Linked DNA regions of Diceros bicornis minor. The protein of the gene in region 3 binds, or shares a complex with, the protein of the main gene of each other region. Links are inferred from orthologs where the notes say so. Each region holds a gene or a part of one and is shown on either strand. Other genes may lie near its edges.

The links.
Region 1: EFTUD2 (region 3) and CRIPT share a complex: the UniProt entries of both Homo sapiens proteins name them as parts of the minor spliceosome. The link is inferred for Diceros bicornis minor from reciprocal best matches to the Homo sapiens genes EFTUD2 and CRIPT.
Region 2: EFTUD2 (region 3) and SNRPD1 share a complex: the UniProt entries of both Homo sapiens proteins name them as parts of the minor spliceosome. The link is inferred for Diceros bicornis minor from reciprocal best matches to the Homo sapiens genes EFTUD2 and SNRPD1.

The regions. Positions count from the first base shown.
Region 1 is NC_080751.1:38,646,916-38,654,672, reverse strand, and holds the start of CRIPT (cysteine-rich PDZ-binding protein), read left to right. Parts: upstream 1-4,245; 5' UTR 4,246-4,332; coding exon 4,333-4,348; intron 4,349-6,346; coding exon 6,347-6,412; intron 6,413-7,161; coding exon 7,162-7,216; intron 7,217-7,757. Other genes in the region: PIGF (phosphatidylinositol-glycan biosynthesis class F protein), read right to left, coding at 284-375, 1,788-2,036, 3,579-3,599. UniProt on the Homo sapiens protein: As a component of the minor spliceosome, involved in the splicing of U12-type introns in pre-mRNAs. Involved in the cytoskeletal anchoring of DLG4 in excitatory synapses.
Region 2 is NC_080755.1:13,551,987-13,560,432, reverse strand, and holds the start of SNRPD1 (small nuclear ribonucleoprotein Sm D1), read left to right. Parts: upstream 1-4,934; 5' UTR 4,935-5,029; coding exon 5,030-5,043; intron 5,044-8,170; coding exon 8,171-8,247; intron 8,248-8,446. UniProt on the Homo sapiens protein: Plays a role in pre-mRNA splicing as a core component of the spliceosomal U1, U2, U4 and U5 small nuclear ribonucleoproteins (snRNPs), the building blocks of the spliceosome.
Region 3 is NC_080757.1:43,343,343-43,351,867, reverse strand, and holds the start of EFTUD2 (116 kDa U5 small nuclear ribonucleoprotein component), read left to right. Parts: upstream 1-5,011; 5' UTR 5,012-5,211; intron 5,212-8,342; 5' UTR 8,343-8,346; coding exon 8,347-8,451; intron 8,452-8,525. Other genes in the region: Ig-like V-type domain-containing protein FAM187A, read right to left, coding at 1-714; CCDC103 (coiled-coil domain-containing protein 103), read right to left, coding at 1,742-2,191, 2,896-3,028, 3,654-3,796. UniProt on the Homo sapiens protein: Required for pre-mRNA splicing as component of the spliceosome, including pre-catalytic, catalytic and post-catalytic spliceosomal complexes. Component of the U5 snRNP and the U4/U6-U5 tri-snRNP complex, a building block of the spliceosome.

The DNA of each region.
Region 1 (7,757 bases), on a different chromosome or scaffold from region 3:
GGTATAGTAGAGTTTCTCATCTACCTCCTCCTCACATGCAAGTGGGTGACATAAGGCTAGGTAATAGGAGAATTTAATGAATTAAGTTATTCCACTGTTTTTTAAAAGAATAACACTGCTAAGGAAGGGCAATGTGTCAGCATCCTTACTTGATCCATTAATTAAACACACCATGGTTTTCGTCTAATCACCAATAGAATTAGCACATTATCTAGTAAATGAGTGTTTTAAAACATAATTGCCACAGATAAAAATTGCCTTCAGATAAAAATTTCAGACTTACTCTATTAGTGGTGCTCCATAGAGAACAAAAATTATATGAAAGGAGAAACAAGACATAAGAAAATAGATACAGCATTTCAAAAATCTGGTTACCTAAAAAAGAAATGAATAATTTAAAGACTCAAGAGAATGCCTAAAGAACAGCAAATGCCTCCATTTTACCTACAAACACAACTTATTCCCATAATGTGTGATACAGTCGAATGTTCTTTGGATTTGGGTACCCTGCAGTCAGATCACATGTCCCATCAGGTACACAGCCCTCAACACAGCCTTACAAAGCAAGCATCACCCCCATATTCCACCCACCCAACCAACACTAGAGTCAAAATGCATTTGTTTCCATGGTATGTATTGAGCTATGTTGTTAATCAGTATTTATAAAATATTTACCAATAACAGAGTGCTGGGATCACATACACGTGACCACACATGAAATATTTGCAGAAAATAATGACTATAATAATTTTTTTCATTTTAAAACAAAATCCCTAGGAAAACTACACCAAAAAAAAGCACAATACTAAATAATTCTCCAAATCATGTTCATGTTACTAGATGATCCACATGAAAAGACTTACATGTTTGTAAATTAGTGTGTGGGACCTACTTGACTTGGAGATTAAGAAGATCTAATTATAAAACATGCAATAAGCTTTTTTAATCATAGGGCAGTAAACGTATTTAAAATTACCTCATAGAGGGCTTACATAGTATTGAATAATGTTAAGTGAGGACTTTATTAATTTAAAGTAATAGTCAAGTGTTACACTGTGGTGAATATTTCAGAAAACAGATTCTATTATCTGAAAACTTTACTGTTTAGTTAAGGAAGGCCATATTGAAACAAGAGCTATCATAGAGTCTTATTTTCTAATTTCTGAAAACCTCATTAAGTGTCTTTCAGAAATGCAAAAAATAAATGAAAATAAACTGAAATGTCTTATAAAATAAGGTTTAAAGTTATGACTGCTATATGTATTTATCTCCAATGATCACATAAAACTTGATTATATGGGTTCACAAAGCTATAATATCCACTTAAGACATCCTAATTTTGGGGCCAGCCACGTGGCGTAGCAGTTAGGTGCGCACGCTCCGCTGCTGGAGGCCTGGGTTCGGATCCCGGGCGCGCACCAACGCACCGCTTGTCAGGCCATGCTGTGGTGGTGTCCCACATACAGTGGAGGAAGATGGGCACAGATGTTAGCCCAGGGCCAGTCTTCCTCAGCAAAAAGGAGGAGGATTGGCATGGATGTTAGCTCAGGGCTGATCTCCCTCACACAAAAAAAAAAAGACATCCTAATTTCACAACTAATGCACGGCAAGGATCTATTAAACATTGTGAGCAGCATTCCAACAAATAGGCTACTGATTTGACAAAGAAATCAGGTTCTCTTTACTCACTGTAAATAACCCAATGAGTACTTGACTAATACTTTATTCTTCCATTAAAAGAAACGCTACCTCCATCTAAAAATCAGTTATCAAGAAATAAGCCTTACCTTGTATGATAATGAACTTCTTCTAGAGGACGCATTTGGTTTCACCACTAAATATAATACTAGATTGACAGCAGTTACACAAACAGAACAGATGCACAACCATGTCAAGTGTGTTTCCAATATTGAGAAGTTCTCCAAGAACAATGATGGAATGAAGATGCTTAGGATAATTGAAAATATGCATAAAAGATGGGTATACAGTAGTCTCTTGATATCAGTATCTTTCATGGTGTTTTCTTGAGTGGCTATCTAATGAAAAACAAATTAAGAAAAAAGCATATGCAATAACTTTTTCCATCATCCTAAATGCTCTAACGCCTAAAAATAAGCCTTGAACCAAAGTCAATTTTCTACGGGCAACAAGGTATTGCTTTCACAATAAGATGCATATGCGTAAATGCACATGTAGACTAATATGGTACAAATAGCTCTCAGAGCCTAAAAAAGACAAATTTACTAAGTTCTTAAATATTTGCGACTGATTTCTGCAACAGAGTCATGTGCTAGGACCAATTAAGCAATTCAATTTCTTTTTTTTTTTTTTTTTTTGCCAAAATAACAGAGGTGAAAACTAACTGCATGGATTAATGACCTCCCCCAGCTGGAAATATAACCTATGCATTCTAAAAATCCCATGAATACACTTTGGCTAAATTGTTGGCATGTTTGTTTTTTTCACCATTGTAGACCTTTGTCTCACATGACAGGAGTTCACATCTTCTAGCAAATGCCAAGTGACACCAACTGCAAACTCAAATACTCAAATGACGGCCGGTGTAATCAAGAGAGTTCAAAGAACATTATGCTAAACTAAGGGACCCCAGTGCTCCAGAAATACCAAAATGACAGTGTCTGTTACAGGTGCTATACTCCAATCAAATGTAGAGCAAGAATGGGGGCCGGCCTGGTGGCACAGTGGCTAAGTTCCAGAACTCCGCTTCAGTGGCCCAAGGTTCACGGCCCGGACTTATGCACTGCTGGAGGAAGATGGGCGCAGATGTTAGCCCAGGGCTAATCCTCCTCACCAAAAAAAAAAAGGAGCAAGAATGGAAAAAGAGAAAAAAATGTACTTTCTCTCTATACATAAAACACGTATTTTCTATATATATTTAATTATTCATTACCTAACAGACAGCTTATACATAGTGTTGAATAATGTTAAGGACCTTATTAATTTAAAGTAATAGTTCACATTCTGGTGAACACGCTAGGGAAAAAAACATATATTTTATACACACACACAGAGGGGGCGCCCACTAGCGCAAAAAGGCAAGTCCAGGCCTTATTCTAACAGATCTCATTTAATTCACACTACAATCTTCAAAGGCAAATATTTTACTGATAAGGAAACAGGCTAAGACAGGTTAGGAGACAAGTCAAGGTCCCAAGCTCCCGAGTGCCAAATCCATTTCAAAACCTAGTCTCTCTGACAAAAGATACACACTAGGGGTCGAGAAGAGAATGAATAGCAAGGGAGAAAGGAAAAGTTTCTCACAGGTCCTATCCTTGGCTGATTGAGGGGTGGGAAGGGGGATCCGGAAGACATTGTCTCAACAGACACCCCTTAGGACGTTTTTCTGGGCCACGCTCCGAATCCCAATTGACATCAGAGGATTTGGATCTAATACAGTGAGCAGTACCCAAACTCAAATGCTTGCCGAATGAATGAACGAACGAACGGAGAGGGGGTCAAGTGTTTGCCCTTCCTGAGAAGCCAGCACTGTGTTAGGCCCTGGCGAGCCCACGGGGACGCCCCGGAGGCGGCCTCAGTCCCGGCGTCCGCGTTCTGACCTGGCCCGGGTCCACAGGCATTGTGGCGGGAGAAGAGGCCCTCTGAGCTGCTCCCAGGGGAGCCTTCGCGGGAATCGCGGGACCTTTATCTGCAGCCCCACCTCAAACTGTGTAGCTCGGGACTCTACCCAAGCCTCAGCCGGCAGGAGTGTGGACAGCAGGGGACGAGCTGAGAGGCATAATCAAAGAGAACGGGCATGGAGCCCAGGAGAAACGGAGGGACAGACACAGAAGGTCAAATCCCAAAGACGGCCGGTCCATCAGGGCAGCCCCTGGGGCACGCCGGAAGAGTGGCGCTCGAGCGCCCGGGGGCGCGGGCGGAACGGGGCAGAGGCTCGGGGCCACTAGGACAGTTGGCGGGGGCTGCTTTCACCCCCGGGAAGCTCGCGAGCCGCGAGCCTTAGACTGGGCTTACCTAACTCGCCCACCTGCGGAAGAGAAGCGAGACCTACTACCTCCCACCATCAGGTGCGACTCGCCGCCCTGACCTTCGCGCAGGCGCAGGCCTGTGGGGCGGGGAGACCCAAGGCCGCACAGCCAATCGCAGAAGTGGAGGGGCGGGCAAAGGAAGCAGCCCCGCCTTCCGCCCGCGTTTATTCCTCCCGCGGCTTTCCAGGCGTAGGATAGGCGGGGCGGAGGGCGGGGGATCCGGAAGTGGGTTGCCGTAACCCGGAAGGGGAATTCTTCCCTGGCAGTGCTGTTGATGTTTTCAACCCGCTGCTCGTTCTGCGGCTAAGGGAACCGTCGCGGAAGGATGGTGTGCGAAAAATGTGAGTTAAGGGGTGGCTTCTGCGGGAGAAGGAGGCTGGAAGAACCTAACTGGAGTTCCCCGGGAACTTGGCCCTTTCTTTGTTTTGCCAGCGGCCACAGCACTCTGATTCTAGCCTGTCTTCCTACTCTGCCGTTTGACCATTCTTGCCCCTCCCCAACGACCATATAGGTTGGTCTCAGTTTGCACCTCTTGGTCTATTTCCGTTGCTTTCCAGCAACCCCAGATCTCATCCCAAACAGCTTCTGACTGGCTCTCTTGCCTCACAGACCCTCAGGTGGGAATGGGTCTTAAAATTGACTTCTACAGCATCTACAGATTTAGCAAAAAAATACCAGACGCCCAGTTAAATTTGGGTTTCAAGTAAACAACGAATAATCTTTAGTATAAATGTGTCCCGTACAATATTTGAGACTTGGCTCTGCTGCTCCTTAGTACTGCAAGTGCTTTGTCCCCGAGGACTTTTAGGACATTCTTTACAGAAAAAAGTATTCATTTTTTTTATCTGAAATTTAAAGTTAACTGAGCATCTGTATTTTATCTAACAATCGTAAGTCAGTATTCCATACATTGGCTTAATTGTCCTCTGCATGAATATCTACAGTATTGAGGCTGGGGCCAGGAGAGTCTCACCACCTTGAAATGAGTCTGTGTATACTTCACTGACTTTTAGAAAAGTCTTTCCTCCCTATAGTTGCTGTCCAGTGATTCTAATGCCAACCCTTGAGATTTCTAGAAAATATCTGATGATTTTTTTTACCTCACAAACCGTTTATATGTTAAAAACAGCTGTCATATCCCCAAGTCTCTTTTTCCTCACACTAGACATATCTGGCTCTTCTGTCACAAGGTTTCAAGAACTCTTGTCCTCATTGCTGTCTCATTAACATGATCCAGTTACTGTCTAACATGATCCATTTTGTTTATATCTCCCTAGTAGATAAAACTTTGAGCACAGACATCCATGAGTTTGCATAACAGTTCTTATATTAGGTAAAAGGATGACCATGGTCAGATTACTTTAATAAATTCTCAGTGTGCAGAGAATAATTTGGGGTTTCTGTATTTGGAGCCTGGCATTCAAGATGACCCTCCACCATAAGGCCTCAGCTTATCTTTCCAACTTAATTGTCACTAACTATTACCCTCTTCACACTTTGGCCAAACCAAACTATTTTGCATGCCCTTGTGTATTCTGAGCTTTCCCTGCCTTTCCTCAGGCTGTGTCCTTTATCTAGTTTGCCTTCATCCTCTTTCCTCCTCTTTCTTCACAGTCACATTGCCACAAACCCTCTCAGTTGCCTTCCGCACAAAGTTTTCCTGGATTTCCCTAGACAAGGTTATTTCTTCGTCCGTGGAATTTCTCCTAGTACTTTAGCTCTCAATTTATTTTAGCTCTCAATTATTATACTTTTTATTTTCTAGCTTGTATTTTAGTTGAATGGTTCTTAACTTTTTTTTGGTTCTCTGAGCCCTTTGAGAATCTGATGAAAGCTAGAGAAGCTGATGAAAGCTATAGACTCTTACCAGAGTCTGTAAAAGAAATGGACATACAAAAGGTTTGTGTGCAGTTTCATCTTGTTCATGTACCTCTTAAGGACTACTGTTAGAGAAATCAGTGTACTATAAGCTCCTTGAAATCTAGAGCTTCATCTCATTTATCATTTTATTTTTCTCTGTAGTTTGTGCAATGATTTATAGATCATAGGTGCTTAGTAAATATTTATGAAATGAATAGATTTGTCAGATTTATATAAAGTATACATGTACATAAGAAGCCTATTATAAACCATACTATTATCCTACAGATTTTACTGAGAGTCCGTCATCCATTGCCCACAGTTAATATCTTAAGTCTTGGTTCATTGGCCCTGACCCCAGCATTAACAGGCTTCTACTATAATATGATTGCTGATACAATTGTGAACTTTAGGCACAATGTAATGTATTTATTAGATAGTAAATACTAATTCCCCTTACTTTTACTGTCTTGTAACAGGTGAAAAGAAACTGGGTACTGTTATCACTCCAGATACATGGAAAGATGGTGCAAGGAATACCACAGGTATTTTTTCCTTTTAGAACATAGAAATTGAGTTGAATACTTCTTGTGAATAATGTTTTAGTTTTTACATCATTTGGAAAATGAAATGTTTTTATATGTAGAAAATATTTCATGTATTAAACATTAAGAATACTGGATCCCGCAACAATTTAATATCTTCTATTTAGTTCTCTCAGTTACATATTGGGGTTCCTAATTTGGTAAATAGGACATAGCAAAATAATTAAATGATTTTCAAGCCTTGAGTATATCAAAGTAATTGATTTGATTCAACTTAATTGGAGTTGGTATTTAATTCCCCCTCTTCTCACCTGATTTTTGTATTCTTGAAGAAATCATTTAAATATTTTCACCTTCATAATCATTCAGTACAATGAAGATGTTTTCAAAGGGAAGGAAAAGAAACACTTTTTCAAGGTCTATGGCACCAAAGTAATGGCATCTAGATTTTACATTAGTGCATTAAATGTAGACCCACTCCTAAAGTCCTACTTTGAGTCTAAGAAGTAAAATGATTGCATTTTATCCAATTTTTTATTGTTTCCCCAATAAACAGTTGTTTTCTTTTCAAGTAGTGTCTTAAGAACCTGGCTATTAACTGAGGAATTTTGAAAATTTTCGTATAGGTTGGTCTGTTGGTAGGAGGTTGAAAAATGAACTTATTAACTAATTGTTAAATGCTATATGATTATGTTATGTGTGAAATGTGTGGAAATGACCCACTAAAATACGTGTATATTTTGTTATAGAGAGTGGTGGAAGAAAGCTGAACGAAAATAAAGCTTTGACCTCAAAAAAAGCAAGGTAGGTATAGGAGCACCTATAGAGCAGTCATATAAATTTCCACTCTTTTTAATATTGCGTGTACTGGGGTGAATTTGGTGTGCGTTATTCTGTGGTGATAAAGCATAGAATTAGATAGTTCCTGGTCTGCAAAACCAAGCTATCTGTTATAACCTGCTAGTTTTACCCTATTCCTCTTTACTGTATCAATATATGAAAGTATGTGTTACGTTCTTTTTATAATTTCACCAGAAAACACAACTTTTATATTTTTCTAGTTCTTAATTATGCTATAAATCAGAGGCAACAGAGAAGTGTGGAAAGATCATAAGCTCTGGAATCAGACCTAAATTTGAATCTAGACTCTGTCACTGTCTAGCTCTGTGATGTTAAATAAGTTAAGCCAGTTTCTTAACTTTTTTGAATTTTACTTTTTCATCTGAGAATGGGCATAAAAATGAATTTCCTACCTTAAAAATAATTTTTGACAGCATGCTTTATTAAATGCAGTCTTAAAAATTCCACGAACCCTTCCAGGTGCCACCCTATTTCCTTGCTTCCC
Region 2 (8,446 bases), on a different chromosome or scaffold from region 3:
CATAGTTATCTGAAACCAGAATGTTTTAAACTGAAATCCGTGTTTTACTCAGTTTTTTAAAAACTAATGTTTAGGTAGGGAAAAAACAAAACCCACACAACATCCTACTATTCCACTGAGTAGCATTCACTTATTGGTTTCTGCAAAGACTATTAACTGAAATATCATTCGATGATACTATTGAAATACTTTGTGCTGCAGTTAATCCATTTCAACTATCCAAAGGCTACAGAAAACAAGGTTCACAGCACTTCTCAAATCTCAACGATTTAACTCCTTCCTCCTTCCCTGCTGCGCCCTCCTCTCTCGGAAAACACCGTACCTGCTCGGTTTTCAGAACTTAACATTGAGGGGTGGGGGAGGGGAAGGTTGGGGGTGTGGGGGTGGGAGAGTTCTCTAATTTTTGGACTTGCTATCCCATTCTGCCTGAGTAAAACAAACCCCTGTAGTAAAAGAACCTTATGAATAGTGATGAAAATCGAGGACCAATTTCCTTCTGCTCGCTTCTCTCTATCTCTATAAACTTCACTACGGCCCTCAATACACCCATTTCTACGCCAGAGCAGCCCTACCTGTGCCCAGACGCCCCCTGCCCAACTCGAACTGCTCTATGAGCTTGGAGCCGGGCCACTGCTCCCCTCCCAGGCTAAAGACTGAGGAACCAAGATGCCCATCTCCCGCCGCGCAGACTGCAGAGGCCTGAGGGTTCAGGCCGGGTCAGCGAGGGGCGGCGGGGGCAGGGGAGCAAGCCGCAGGGACGGCAGCTCCGCGCCGGCTGGTGGGGCTGGCTCCGGGGAGACGCCGGGAGAGAGGGACGCCGGGGGCGGGGACAAGGCCCGGGCTACCTGCGGGCCGCCGCCCTCACCGCCCCAGTAGTCGCAACGGCTGCAAGCGACCGCCGCGCTCTGTGAACCCTCGCGGCCGCCTAGGGAGCCCCGGCCTGCGCCTGTCCGCGGTCACGGCCCCTTCACTACCTCTGACCGCCCGGCAAGTAGCAGCAGGTGATGCGACGACTGGGCAGCCGAGACGCGCAGGCTGGTCGCCTCCCACCCCTCCCAGGGGCGCCAGGAGCCCGGACCAAAGAAGTGGGAAGAGGCGTGCGAGACAACGCGACACAGAAGGGGGACAGGGAGGGGGAGAACCCTCCGGCTCTCCGGAGGGGCTGGAGAAAGGGAGGCGAGGACGCAGGCGGCGCGACAGCACGCGGTGGGGACGGTCGGGACGCTCGCGTACCTTCCTCACTCCCGGCTGAGGGTCCAACGCGAGCCAGCAGATCGCCTCACATCCGGGTATCAAGAGACACTCAGCCGCTTCTGCCGCGACCGCCGCCTCTCCCGCGGCGCAGAAACGCCGAACTTCCGGCGACGACGGCGACGCCTCGCCGGTCAGATGGGAGTTACCTGCGACCGTCTTGGGCGCGCTTGCGCAACGTTCCTCTTCAGCCCTAACCGGCTCAGCTGACGTACCCAGAAGACGAAGATGGCCGCCACGCTCGCTGCGTGTCACTCCGTTTTTCACCCCGGCCGGGACGGCTGGGCGTCGGGGAACAGGGAGCCTGCGTCCATCCTCGGCGCAGGCGCGGTGGGAGGCCTCGCGTGCGCTCACCGCGGGTGGGCTGCTCGCGGGGAAGCGGCGGCGCCCCCTGGCGGCGGCCTCTTGCTCTTCCCGCGGTCGTCTCATGGAATAATAACACCCACGCCCCCAGCGGTGGTGGTTTGTCGTGGAAATTCGTCGCCCCCGCTTCTTCTGTTGGTTGCGGGTACTGCTCTTCTGCGACCTCTAGGTTACATACCTTTAATCTTCGACATGGACCAATGTAACGAAAAAAGGAGATAACTGACCCTCTCTCTCCTTCCGCGGCACTGCACTCCCTCGCTTCCAAAAAATGCAGGACTTCACCGTCTCCGTGCACACTTTCCTCCTTGTGCACCAAAGCACAAGCGTCGACAAGAACTTGTATAATGTTCCACTAGATTTAGTCATGGCCGGTATTCAGATAAAGCTTTGGCTCTTCGAAGCCTCTAAAGATAGAATCCAGCGTTCTGTCACTAGGATCGTGGTTGCCACACTGCTTTTGAACGCTTTCTGTGCTACTCCTTCCTTTTTTGCAGATATATGAGGATGGATAAACGCTACTCTTGCCTTTGAGAATCTAAAGAGAGGTGATCATAGGTAGGTTCTTCCCTTCCTGACCTCTTTTTTTGAAGCCAGGTACAACCAAAATGTGCTCTGAGAAGCCTGATGTTTTTCTGACATTTTCCACAAAACTTTATTGAACTGCTTGTTACTTTAGTCTGGGGAGATTCCATGGTTTAAAAAACAAAATAGGTGAGGCCATTACCCACATCACCGTAGGTTGTGTTGCTTAGCAAAAGCCTGTCTACTGCCTCCCCCACCTCTAGTTCCTAATATAGGTATATTCTTTTTTTTTTTTTTTTTTTTCTGTGAGGAAGATCAGCCCTGAGCTAACATCCATGCTAATCCTGCTCTTTTTGCTGAGGAAGACCAGCTCTGAGCTAACATCTATTGCCAATCCTCCTCCTTTTTTTTTTTCCCTCCAAAGCCCCAGTAGAGAGTTGTATGTCATAGTTGCACATCCTTCTAGTTGCTGTATGTGGGATGCGGCCTCAGCATGGCGGGAGAAGCGGTCCGTCCGTACACTCCCGGGATCCCAACCCAGGCTGCCAGTAGCGGAGCGCGTGTACTTAACAGCTAAGCCACGCGGTATATTATATATATATAAGCCCTATAGGTATATTCTTTAATGACATATGCCAAATGTCTTAAATTGGGAAAAAAGTCAGGAGTAGACTGCTGACCTGATTGAAGCTGGTTATCTACCAGAGCATCGGACTTATATCTTCTTTCACCTTTAGATTGTCAGACAACTGGTGTAATTTCTTTCCATGTGTAAACCACTTTATCTTCAGTAACTTAAATTCTGGCATACACACACACAAACCATATTTACAAGTTTCCATTCCCACAAAATAGGCCTCTGCTTCTGAGTGATCTGTTCCCCTATATTTGTTTTGTGGCCACGATCCAGAGCATAGCAATCCTTACAAGTCTCACACCATATTAAATATATATAATAAATATAAAATATATATAAAACATAAATATAATTATTTATTTAATTTTAATTTAAATTGGCACATTTAGGCATTGTTTTTAATCCAGGGGCTCATTAATATCATCATGAGTTTTTTTTTTTTTAAAAGTCTCTCCTAAGACTGGTTTTTCTCTTGGTTCTAGGTGAGTTCCCAAACTGCAGAGGCTACTACCTCTCCATTCACATCCAAAAGGGAAGAGTATTCCCTGCGAAGGTCTGATTGGATCAGCTTACATCCCAAGCCCACTGTGGACAAGTAGTGGAATGTAATGAGTGACAGTTAAGGGTAGAGTCAGCTTCCTTAGGACCACATGGATCACCAGGACACTATTAGGAACTGTTGGGAAGAGAAGAGGATACATATTGAGAAGACAACGCACAAATGTCAATTACAGTCTTGCTACCCAAATTGTGGTCCATGGACTCGGGGCATCTTCATCAACTAAAGTCTTGTTAGAAATGCAGAATTTCGGACCCCACACCAACTGAATCAGAATTTTCATTCTAAAGTTTCCTCCAGGTGATTCCTATGCATATTAAAATATGATGAGCATTGCCTTACAATACCCAAGACTTCTGATGATCAGAGGTGAAGTCCAGGCTGGAGATACAAATTAAAGCTGTGGTTTTGGAGATCACCTAGGCTAAAGACCAAAGTATCCATAAGGAGACTACACCCAGGGAAAGCCCCAAAGCACTCCAACATGTGATGGCTCAGTAGAGGATGAGGCAGCTAAGGAGACCTAGAAAGAGTAGCTAGTAGGATAAGAATAAAACCAGGTGTGCTTGGCGTCCTGGAAGCCAAGAGAGGAGGGTGTTCAAAAGGGGAGTGTTTGTGTTGAATGCTTCTGAGATATTGAGTAAGATGAAGATAGATGTTTGTCTTGGAGGTTTTGATAACTATTAGACAAGCAATTTCAGTGTAGTTTGAAGACTGAATTGGAGATGATAAAATAAGTGTAGACAGCTCATTCAAGAACTTTTTCTGTGATCGAAGTCTGGCAGTAGCTGGAGCTGCAGCAAAGGAGAACTTTGTTTTGTTTCTAAGATAAATTTGTTTGCTGATGGAAAAAATTCAGTAGAGAAGGAGAAATTGATGATTCAAGTTAGAAGGGGATAACTGAAGGAGTAAAATTCTTGAGAAAATGAGAGATGGGATCCAGGCTATAATGAAAAAGAATTTACCTTTGAAAGAAGCAACAATGCTTCCACCCTTGCGATAGGAAAGAAAGCAGAAGGATGGCTTCTGTTTTCTTAAAAAAGTATGAAACATTAGCAGAGAGTGATTTGGGAGATGGCCTGTAAAAGGTTTCAGAAGGAGGAAAGAAAGAAGATATGAACTAATTTGTGAGATTATTATAGAAGCATAACACAGTCTCTGAGTAGTACCTCTTTGAGGTTTGTGGTCAGAATTTAAGGTAAAAATAATCAGCTAAATCGTGTGATTTTCTTCAGGTACATTAAGTAATGCTGAGGTTCCCGGTGTTGGAGCAGAATTAGCATAATCCTTTGGGCTTCTCTCAGAATTTCCCTTCGTTCAGGGATATATTTAGTGCTGCATAACACATGGCGCCCTGTAGTGGCGAAGTGCGACGGCGACAGGCCTACTAATTGGATTTAATCTCCTCAAATCTCCCTCTTGCGGGAAATTTCCTTTTAGACTAGTCCTAACGCCCTCAGCAGTCGCAAGGTACACCTCCAGCCGCCAGAGTGCGCTGTGGCGACCCTCGCGCCGGAAGTGAGTGCGGCCCAGCCGGCCTCGGCGTTTCCGCCGTGCGTAAGCAGTGCTCAGCGCGCTCTTTGCGTCGGAGCCCCGGCAGTAGGCGTTTCCGGCCATTCATACTCCCAGTCCGTTGGCGCTTGGTTGTGGCCTTGCGTGCACTCTCGGATCGAAAGGGCGACGGCGCCGCTAGCATGAAGCTTGTGAGGTGAGGAGGTGACCAAGCGGGATGGGAGCTGTGAACGGACGGTTTGGGCCGGGAGCCGGGCTGCCCCAGTTCCGGGAGGCGCGAAAGCCGCGTGCGCGCGCGGCCTGCTGACGGCCTCCGGCGCCCGCCGCTCCCGCCCCATCTAGGCCGCGGGCGCTCGCGCGTGGGTTTCGGACTGAATCGCGCGGGGATCCCGCGTGTCTTCCAAGAAGTAGACGTAAGGCCGAGACGTTTCTTCTCACCTAGTGTCTTAGAGGCCTTGAAGGTGCAGCGCCAGGCTTACAAACTCGTAGTTTCGGTTCCTTACCGATTTTTATATCGAGTACAACTCGTGTTCTAGTCTAGGTTACTTTTCTGGCTCCTTTCAGCTCCCAGAACCGGCAAATATAGCTATGTCCACGCTCCCTGAGAACGTGGGAGACAAAGAAAAGGAAAATTATATGCTCCTGCGAAAGTAGTTTAAGTTGATCCGCTTTTCGTGATGAAACTTACGTCGCCCTTAAAAAGAGTACTTAGAAGTTGCGGGAGTTTATCTGGAAATACCGAAACCCATTTCCGAAATGTTTTAAAATCGGGGTTGGACTTCTGACTTCATAAGTTGGTCTTTTTCCAGCTTTATTGAGATATACTGGAATTTTTTTCAGAAGGTAGAGCCCCTGCCTTGTTGGAACTTTATGTTTTGTGATGAAGACAGACAAGTAGATAGTTTCTAGTATGTTTGAAATAACATATAAAACCGTCAATATTTTATTCAGGGTGGACTTTGTAGAGAAGGCATTTAAGGTTAATTTTTAGTCCATTTTTGTTTGAGCTAGAACTTTTGGAGAAAAAGTCTCAGAATTTAAAGTACATTTTCTCGATACCTGCCAGTTTGAATGTGTTTATAGTTTCATATATTTATAATTTGATATATTTTGAATCATGCAGTATGCCTGCTTTTTGTGTAAAATTTCTTTTACTCAGCATATTTTTTTTGAGATTCGTCCACATTGTGACGTGTATCGCTAATTTATTCCTTTTTATTAGTGAATAGTAGTCCATTGTGCATTTAAGAGTTACGTATGTTGTGTAAAACTGTTTTGAACATTCTTGTGTAAGTTTTGTGTTTTTTTCCTTCATTTCTCTTGGGTAAATACTTAGGAGTGGAGTTGCTGGATCACAGCATAGGTAATCGTTTAGTTTCATGAGAAACTACCAGACCATTTTCCAAGGCGGTACCATTTTACACTCCCGCCAGCAGTGTATTAGAATTCCACTTGCTCCACATCGTCACCAGCATTTGTTGTCATCAATCTGTTTAGCCATTTTAGTCCTTGTATAGTGGTGTCTCATGGTGTTAATTAACAGTTTTCTAATGATTAATGATATTGAGCACTTTTTCACCTGCTTATTGGCCATTTGTATGTCTTTGTGAAGTGTCTTGTTTTGTGTTGTTTCTTTTTATTGTTGAGTTGTAGGAATTCTTTATGTATCCTCTGTCAGATATAATTTCTCTCAGTTTGTGGTTTGTTTGCTCATTTCCTTAGTAGGTAATGTCTTTTGGTGAGCAAAAGTTTATTTTGAGGAAGTCTTGATTTACCAGCTTTTGGTTTTATGGTTCTTACTCTCTATGTACTGCCAAAGAAACCTTTGCCTACTCTCAAACCGTGAAGATTTCTCCTGTTTTTCTCTAAAAGCTTTATAATTTTAACTTTTATGTTTAGGTGTGATCCATCTTGAGTTAATTTTGGTAAGTGGTGTGAGTTAGAGGTCCAGGTTCATTTTTTCTATATGAATTTTTAATTATTCCATGTTGTTATGGATTTCATCATTTGTTGAACAGGCTTTCCTTTGCCTGTTGGACTGCTTTGGCACTTTTGTAGAAAATCAACTAAATAAATGTAGATTTATTTCCGGACTCTATTTTGTTTCGTTGATCTATTTGTTGTTCCTGTGTCTTGGTTACTATAACTTTAACCTATATACTACTCTAGCCATCTAATTTGTCTTCCTAGAGATTGTCCTAGAGATAGAAGGTTGGTAACAATTAGTATTGATAAGGATTTGCATAATGGATTTGTAATAGCAAAATATATATATGTGGCCATGGAAATATCTTCAGTATAAACTGCTAAATGAGAGTACAAGTCATAGAAGTCGTTAAAGTATGGTCCAATTTATGTAAAAACAAAGTTTATGCATATGCTTATAAACGCATGTAAAAATGTAGTAGAAGAATAGCCCTGCATACAAAGAGGGAGTTAAAAAGGGAGACTTTTACTTTTCTGTATTTAGACATGTACAATAAGTGTGTAATCTTTTACTACCAATTATAATTTCCTGATTTCAATTTTGTGGCTTATAATAACTTTAAGATCTGTATGTCTGGATTGAAGGTTAAGCTATATAATGGTTTTTGTTAGTGCCATCAAGTCAATCCCGACTCCTAGTGACCCTGTATATACAGTGAAGTGGAACCCTGTTCCATCTTGTTACGCCATCCTCTCACCTTCCGGCGCTATATCGGGCAATGCTCCACTGCTATTGGTAGGGTTTTCATGGCCACTTTTTGGAAAGTGGGTGGCCGGGTCTTTCTTCCTAGTCAGTCTTAGTCTGGAAGCTACACTGAAACCTGTCCACCACGAGTGACCCTACTGATACTTGAAATACTTGTAGCGTAGCTTTCAGCATCACAGCAGCACGCAGGCGCCACAGTATGACAACTGACTGACAGATGGTGTAGTTCTCCAGCCAGCAAACAAACCCAGGCCATGGCAGTGAGAGCACTGAATCTTAAACGCTAGACTACCAGTATAATGGTTTAGAGAATCAGAAATATCCAAATGGCAGTTTCTCTTATTATTATGCTCCTTCATAAATGTTGAGGGTATAATTCAGGGAAAGCTGAAATTGTTATGCAGATTATTAATAAGAATTGTTACAGATAACATCTCTAGCAGATTTTCAACAGCTGGAAATTTCACCCTTTTGACTTAAAACATGATTTTAAAGTGTTAAAAGTGAAAATTTATCATTTTATTCCTAGCAGATTTTCAACAGCTGGAAATTTCACCCTTTTGACTTAATAAACATGATTTTAAAGTGTTAAAAGTGAAAATTTATCATTTTATTCCTACTGTCTTCATAGATTTTTGATGAAATTGAGTCACGAAACTGTAACCATTGAATTAAAGAATGGAACACAGGTCCATGGAACAATCACAGGTATGGAGGTTGGACTGCTTTATAACGCTTTTTTTTTTTTTTTTTTTTAATCTTTTGCACCTGCAGGTCAGAGTTCTTTTTTGGTTGCTTAATGAACATTATTGTCATATAGATCTCATTGTTTTTGTCTGAATTATTTCATTGACCTTCTTACTTAAACCTCACCTTAAGTACTTATGTTACGACCAAACTATATGTG
Region 3 (8,525 bases):
CCGAACCAGCAGCTCAGGTGTGTGGTGCCTGGCCTTGGCCTGAAGCTTACTTGGCACAGCCCGCGAACCACAGGACACCACGTCAGGCAGTGTCTTGCGGTAGCGTGGGGAGAGGTCTGGGCTCTGCAGGTAGCAGAGGCCAAGGCGCCACTGCTCCCCGCGCACCCCGCACCGGTCACAGGGGGTCCACTCCCAGAAGGTGGTGAAGACATGGAGGCTCCCATGGTACTCGTCTTCAAAGGGCTCCTGGCCCTGGTCCTTGAAAGTGGCCACCATTCCCTCACTGCTCTGGATGTCCACATCGTAAGCGTAAAAGTAGTCCCCCTTGCGGGTGCCACAGAAATACAAGCCAGAGTCCTCAGGCTGGGCCCGGAAAACCAACAGGCTGAACATGCGGATGCTGAAGCGGACCAGCATGTCACTGCCCACACGCACCTGGGCTTCCTCTGTCAGCACCCGCCCATCGAAGTCTGTCAGCACTTTGGTGTGGCCGCTACCTAGGTGCTTTTGGTAGTACCAGACGACAGCAGACACCTCCTCTGGCTTGCAGTGGCAGGGAAGCTCGAAGCTCATGTCGGCCAGGTAGGCTGCATTGTCAAACATCAGGAAAGCCGGGCAAGAGGTCCTCTGAAAAATGTTCTCCTTCTCCACAATTTCAAAGGCCTGGAGACTCCCCCACGTCCACAGGAGCACAGTGGTGTGGGCCAGGTTCATGCCTGCAGGAGGGAAGGGTCAGAGAGGGCAGGCAAAACCAGGCACTAAAGGTCTTTGGGGCTTCTAGAAATCACTGCTGGGAGGAGGCATCTATATGAGGAAAGAGTTAAATAGCCAGGAAAAGAAGTAACAATCTGTAAAGCAAGCAGCCAAAAGCAAGGCAATTTATTCCCAGCTGATATACAAGACACCCTTCTGATGTTCCAGGCATGATCTGGAGGGAAAGCCATTCTAGAACCTGGCCCTCTCTCCCCTTTCTAGAACACTGGCACTCACCCAAGAATGGGTCAGGGGAAACCGGAATGAGAAGCAAGGGCCCAGGTGCTAGGACAGGAAATCTCGGCCTCTCTGCTCCAGGCCCTGCCCTGCCTACCTAGTGGGAAGGTCTTCCCTTTGGTTAATCTGGGAGTTGAAGGAAACCCGCCGGCCTGCACATCTGGCCACCTGAAGAAGCCTGGGAAGCTGGCCAGACCTGAGCTAATGGCTTGGGGCTTTCCCAGGCCCAGCCTGCAAAGGAACTCAGCCCCTGGGGAAAAAATACTGCACCTCAAATGGGGTACCCTTTGATCATTTGTGGATTAAATGTCCATTCATTGGTTTTAAGTTATAAAGATTCTTGTTAAGAGCTATGGAGATCAGTATTTGTTTACCATGGAAGATTAATGATTTTCCTTTTTCCCGTTTTTTTGAGTGGAGGCTGTAACGGGTGTAGCCAGCATTTGGTTGGGCACACACCCATCTCTCAGGGCTGAGGGCTAGAGGCTTGGCAGACAGTAAGGGTGAGAAGCAAAACACTTTCAACTTCTTGGGCCCTTGACCATCCTGTGGATCTACACACTTCAGAATATTGAGCCACCGCAGGGCTGGAGAAGAAGGGAAGATTCGATTCCTGCTTTTGCACTGAAAATTCCAAGTTGAGAAGGGAATTAGGTGTGGGTTTCTCATTACAGTCCTGCAGAGCTCCCAAGACAACAACCAAAAAAGTCCTCCAATGAGCACTGGGGGCCTCTGAAGGTAACTGGTCCTATTAATCCATCTGGTACAGCCCTAGCAGCTCTTGGAGGAGCCTCTCCTCCTCCTGGAGCCCAGCAGGCAGCTCCTCCACACTCCACTCCCTCTGGCTGAGCCCTTCCTTCATGGGTCTGGGGGCGCCCATGGCCTGCAGCTTCTGAAACAAGCCTCTGCAGCTCTCTCTTTGCACGTGGCTCAGCAGGCTCAGGTTCAGGGTGAAGCGCCCGGTGCTGGCCAGGCTGCGCAGGATCCCCAGCACCACTGACCGGTCTGCCGGCCTCACGTGATCGGCCAGTGCCACCAGCAGCTCCCCTAGAAGTCCAAACCCCACATCCGTCTGGAAGAGGCGGGCCAGCTTTGGACCCCCGAGCTGCAGCAGGGCCTGGTAGCGCTCTGGCCCACTCCGCAAGTATCGCCGCCAATCACGGTAGAAGTCTGCCGAGGTCTCAGGCTGGAGGAGTATGTTCTGGATCACAAAGGAAGGAAAAGGAGTCCTGAGCTCTTCCAGCTGTTCCGCAACAGTGAGAGTGAGGGGAGCCTCTAGGTTTCCATCTTAGCTCTGGTACTGCTCCCTGAGCACTGGGAAGGCTGTGGTCCCTGTTTTTCAGAGGTGGTCCCTCATTTTCAGAGGAAGGAACGGGGAAGGGGACAGGGCAGGAGGGTCCCAAGGAACCCAGGCCATGATTTGAGATTCTCAGTTGTACCAGGATTTTCCTACTGATGAATGCAGACATAGCCCTGCTCTAGGAGAGTAAGTGAGGGTTTACTTGGAACAGGGCGTAGGGGATGATCAGAAACCTCAGGAAGAGAGAAAGGAACTCAAGGTGAGTGTTAAGAATCTGACAGGCTGGGTCTCCTTCCCAACACTGCCACAGAATCTTTATACTATACACCATATAACCCAGAGGCAGAGCAACCCAAATCTGATCTGGGAATGCAAGTCAAAGGACTGATGGAAGGGAGCTGCCTCGCCCACCTTTCTGACTTGTTCTGCCCAGTCTAACTCAGCCTCACCATCCACTAGTTGCTTTTCTTTCTGGGATTGGAGGCAGAAACCTGCCTCTGTTGGCTTAACATGAGAAATAAGGAAAAAGTATGTGTTGTAAGAAGACAGGATTGGAGGTTTAGGGCAGAGAATCCAGCTGGGCTGAAAGGCTGGGCCTCACCTACCTGGGAGATTTCAGTGGTCTCGTCCTGGGAAGTCCTTCCCTGAGTAGTGTGACAGTTCCAGGGCACAGTCCTCTTTCCTCCTATCTTGTCCTTCTGCTCTAGTGGCTTCAGATGTGATGCAAGGACAATACCCCTATGAGCAAAAGACACAGATCAGAGGATGGACCTAATGCTGTCTGTGTATGGGAGGTGGCTGGACTTTGCGTGATATAGGCTGAACCTGTTGGCACACCAATATGACAACAATAATAACAATACAATCATAATGTGCCGCATAATGACGTTTCATTCAACGACGGACCACGTACACAATGGTGATCCCATAAGATTAATACCATATAGCCTAGATGTGTAGTAGGCTATACCACCTAGGTTTGTGTAAGTACATTCTGTAATGCTCGCACAATGATGAAATAGCCTAATGACGCATTTCTCAAAACATATCTCCATTGTTCAGCAAAGAATGACTGTAATAACACCAGCAACAATAGTTGACAGCTTTTGAGCACTTCCCATGTGCCAGACATTGTGCTCACAATCTTACATGTAATAACTTATTTAATCATAAAAATGATTACTCTCTTTTACAGATGAGGAAATAGAGGCTCAGAGAGGTTAAATAACTTGCATAAGATCACACAGGTAGCAGAAGGCAGGGCCAGGACTGAGCCCAGAATTGTCTGACACCAAATCACATGCTCTTATCCACTACTGTTCACCATAACAGGAGGGCCTGAGAAAAACAGCATTAGGCCAACCTGAACTCCTCATAGGAAGCCACCCTCTGTTCCACTGCCCGTAACTTGGCAGCATTCTCCCGTTTGTACTTCTCATCAGCAGTGAGTGCAGCCTGCAGCTCTTTTTCTAACGCCTTGAAGTTGATGATGTCATTTCTTTCCATGGCCTGTGCAAAGGGACATCAGAGAAGGGTCAATATCAGGGGGAAGAGGGTACATATGAAGTCTTTGCCAGCCCACAAAATGATCCAAAACCACTCTGGATATCTTGTCACTTATCTTGGGGAGTGTTACAAATATCTAGTTCTCTACAGAGGGGAGCTGAGTTGCACAGTGAGGACTTGCTTAAGACTTGCTGTCACTGAAAATAGAGAGTCCTGACTTTCAGATTGGAGCCTTGCTTTAATTTTCATCTCTGCCTCTAAAAATACTTTAATTTTGATGCTTGGCTGAGGAGGTATTTGGATCTCAGAATTCAGTCCACTAACTCTTCCACATGGGTTCATTCTATAGCAAGTTGTTGTGATAGAGAACCTCACACAAAAGCAGAACTATTGCTAGCCGCTCTTGAGCCCTGGGATAAAATTTCAACCGTCTTTATCTGGGAAAGATACATTGCAACCAAACCAGATGCAATGACTAAGCAGGAAATCAAGTAGAAGTTAGGCAGAGGAAGGGGCTTAATGATCCCTGTCCCCACATCCCTCTGTCCAGCCCAGGGTTCCAGCACAAGTCCCTAGGTACTTGAGCAACCTCTTTAGTTCTGCCCCTGTACTTCTGCAGCCTGCACGTATCTGAGGCTGACTGATCCTTTCTACAGGGAGATCCTGTATATGTGTTCTAGTCTTGGCTCTGGCATTTACTTGCTGTGAGACCTCTTTGAACCTCAGATTCACGGTGCTTTGAGCTAGATTTCGTGGCGGAGTCATCATCAACGGCCCTAGGGCAGGGAGGCAGGAGGTCTGCAAGCAACCCCATAGCCCTTTCCCTCCACCCCAAAGTGGGTAAGCTGAACACCAAGAAGGGCGCTGGGCTGGCCAGGAACTGAACTCAAGTGTCCTGGCTCCTGTCCAGTTCTGAGCCCTCCCCAGTCATTGAATAAATAGAACTAACTCTTCCGACCCTCTGACCTTCACTCCACCAGCCCTGGCCTTGATTCCCTTGCTTTCTTTGAAGATCCCCAGATACGCGAGAACAGGACAGCTCAGTGTAGACCACGCCCAGCAGCTGTGGTTGCCCAGCAACTGCTCCAACAGCCTGCTCACGTGATCGACCCGAAGGCCCCCTTCAGTGTGGTCCCAAGGCGCCTGATCAGATTCAGGCCTGCTCAGCCCTCACTCTCTTGGGAGCAGCCCACTCCTTGGTTTGGGGGCCCACAACTCCACCTCGCCTGTTCCTGTGTCCGCGGCCGGCATTCTTCCGAGCTGGTCCTCAGGCAGAGGGCTGTCCTCCGAGGCAGAAACGCGACGGCGGCCTCTGCGGGGTCCTTCTGGACGGCGGGCGCACACATTGCCGCGGCGTGGGGCGGAAGCGCGGTCTCCGGTGGCAGACTTGGAGCTTTTGGCTAAGCGGTCGGGAGGTGAGCTGGCGCGGGTCAACCGCATGGGAAGTGGGATGGGAAATTAAATAATGTCCGATCTGAAAGAGACGTTATATGCTATCTGATTCTTTCAATTTACAGATGGGTAAATGGAGGCGTTCTGCGGGAAAGGGAAAGAAAGGACCCCCCCCCACACACACACGCACCCCAATTCCGCGGTTCCCTCGATATCATTCATTCGTAAAACCCCTTTCCTGGGCAGGGGTCGTGCTCTCACTGTCCAGTCCCCTCTCACTCCCTTTTCCATCTGTTCCGCCTTCACCCTTTCTCTACCAAGCTCCCTCTGTCCTTATTCTGTATTCCGTTGAGAGCCTGCGTTATAGCGGGAAGCAGCAGTGAGGTTTGGTACCGCAAGTCGTTAGTTTTATGCAACTGTGGACAAATCAGCTGTCTTCTCTGTGCCTTGTTGGAGTCATTCATGCGTTTAACACATACTAATTGAGGTCCTGTTTTGTGCTAGGCACTGTTCCAAGTGAACAAAACAAAGTCCTTCCTTAAATTGTAGTTGGGGGGATGACAGTAAACACATGAATATGTCAGCTACGGATAAATGTTATGAAGAATAATAAAACAGTGAAAGTGGGGATTGGAGAGTGTGTGTATAGGGGACTTTTTAGAGTGACAAAGGAGGTTTCTCAGAGCAGGTGACATTTTAGTAGAGACCTGAGTGAAATGAGGGAACAAGGTATAAATATCCAAGAGAAGATCATTTCCAAAGAGAATAGCAAGTGCAATGGCCCAGCAGCAGAAATGAGCTTGGCTTGTTCCATGAAGAGCCTTCTATAAAAATTTCTGCAATCACTACGTGGGAGTCTTGGGAGAATGAAATGAGCATAGATGTGATAGCTCTTTGGAAGTAAAAAGAATCTCGATGTGTATGAAAGTTTCCATTATAATTTACATTTAATTACTTGTCCTTGGAGCTCTTAATTCTCTATTTTATCTACAACCAGCACTCAACAGGTGGCATTGAGGGAAATGGAGGGATTAGCCTAGTACAAGGAATATCAGTATCTCAAAATTAAACAGTCCATTCGGTTAACATTTATCTAGTTCCTTCTTATGCATGGTGCTGTCTGGGGCATTGGCAGGTGGGCACAAGGAACTCAGCGTTCGTGAATTCAAGAATGGCCAAAAAATAATGCTAACTAATGTTTACTGAGCCTGAGATTGTATAAATTCTTTACACAGACTATTTTGTTTAATTCTCATAACCTTTTATGCAATGGGGACTATTCACTCCATTTTCCAGTTGAGGAAACAGGTTTGGAGAGATGAAGTTACATAGTTATTAGGTACATAACTTACCTGAAGTTACATAGTTATTAAGTGACAAAGTTAGGATTCAAATCTAGATCTTCCAGGTTCAGAGCCTTAACCCTTAACTCATGCTGTGGTCTGCTGTTTATTTCTTGTAAGCTCTAGAGTTGTTGGTGAGGGTATTTAGTACAGTTAACTGACATTCAAGACAGAATTAAATGCTGATAAAGGTGCAAAAGGTTATAGTGGCATAGGAGAGTGAGAAATTGCAGATCTAGGAAAGCTTGAAGGAAGTGTCATTTGAACTCTTACTTTGAATAGAATGTCAATAATTGAAGTGGAGAAAACCCATGAAATACTTATTAATTACAAAGAGAAAACAAGTAACTATAATGGAAAAGCCTGGTAGACACCACCATAATCAGGTGATTAAGTTAGCGTTACCACTAATAGGACAAATTAAAATCGTGTACCACCTGATGGGAGATGCACTGGAAAGAACACAGCATCACTTCTGGGATATTCCTGCCAAAAATGCATAACCTGAATCTCGTCATGAGGCAACATCAGACAAACTCAAATTAAGGGACATTCTACAAGCTCAGTAGCCTGTAATCTTCAAAAGTGTCAAGTCATAAAAGTCAAGGGAAGACTTGAGGAACTGTTCCAGTTTGAAAGAGACTCAAGACATGACAACTAAATGCAAATATGTGATTCTAGATTGGGTCCTTTACTGTGCAGGACATTATTGGAACAGTTCGTGAAAGTTCACTGGGAGTCTGTGGATTAGGTGGTAGTAATGTGTCAATACTAATTTTCTGATTTTGATGGTTGTATTGTGGTTCTGTAGGAGAATGTCCTTGTTTGTAGGAGTCACACGCACTAAAGCAGCAGTTGGCAAACTTTTTCTATTAAGGGCCTATATATTTACTAAAATATAGTAAATATTATAGGCTTTGTGGGCCATATGGGCTCAGTTGCAACTACTCATTTCTGCTGTGACAGTGTGAAAGCAGCCAGACAATATAAGTGGATGAGCATGGCTGGGTTCCGATAAAGCTGTTTTTATAGACACTGAAATTTGAATTACATATAATTAATTTTCATGTATCATGAAATATTATTCTTTTGATTTTTTTTCAACTTTTTTTTTTTTTTTTTTTTTTTTGGCGAGGAAGATCAGCCCTGAGCTAACATCTGCCAATCCTCCTCTTTTTGCTGGGGAAGACTGGCCCTGAGCTAACATCCGTGCCCATCTTCCTCCACTGTATATGGGACGCCGCCACAGCATGGCTTGACAAGTGGTGCATCGGTGCGCACCTGAGATCTGAACCAGTGAACCCCGGGCCGCCACAGCGGAGCGCGCGCACTTAACCGCCTGCGCCAACCGGGCCGGCCCCTTTCCGCTATTTAAAAATGTAAAAGGCATTCTTACCTTGGGGGCTGTAGGAAACAGGTGGCAGGCCAGATTTGGCTACAGGCCATAGTTTGCTAATGCCTGCATTAAAGTATTAGGGAATACATGAGGCATTGTGTCAGCAGCTTATTCTGAAATGATTTAGGAAAAAGAAAGTTATTTGAGCTATTTTCGCAACTTTCTAGTATTATTTTAAAATTAAAATTTTTTTACTATTAAAAAAAGAAGTGAGAAGAGTATGTAAACAGAGACAACAAGTAGAGCAGAGAGGGGAGACGGGCACATGGCTTTGGGGGGAGCAGTCAATAGGTTGGTGTAACTGGAGAGGAAATGTGTGAAGGGGTATGGTCAGCCATAAGGCTGGAAAGGTGGGGCCGTGTCATGGAGGCCTTGATTACCTTGCCAGAATCTAACTCCTCTTCTTGAATTTCAGCATCATGGATACTGACTTGTATGATGAGTTTGGGAATTATATTGGACCAGAGCTTGATTCTGATGAAGATGATGATGAATTGGGCCGAGAGACCAAAGATCTTGATGAGGTAAAACAAATATATTGCTTTTTCATTGCATTCATTGCATTACATTTCATCTTTTTTTAAAAAAGCAAAGTTCT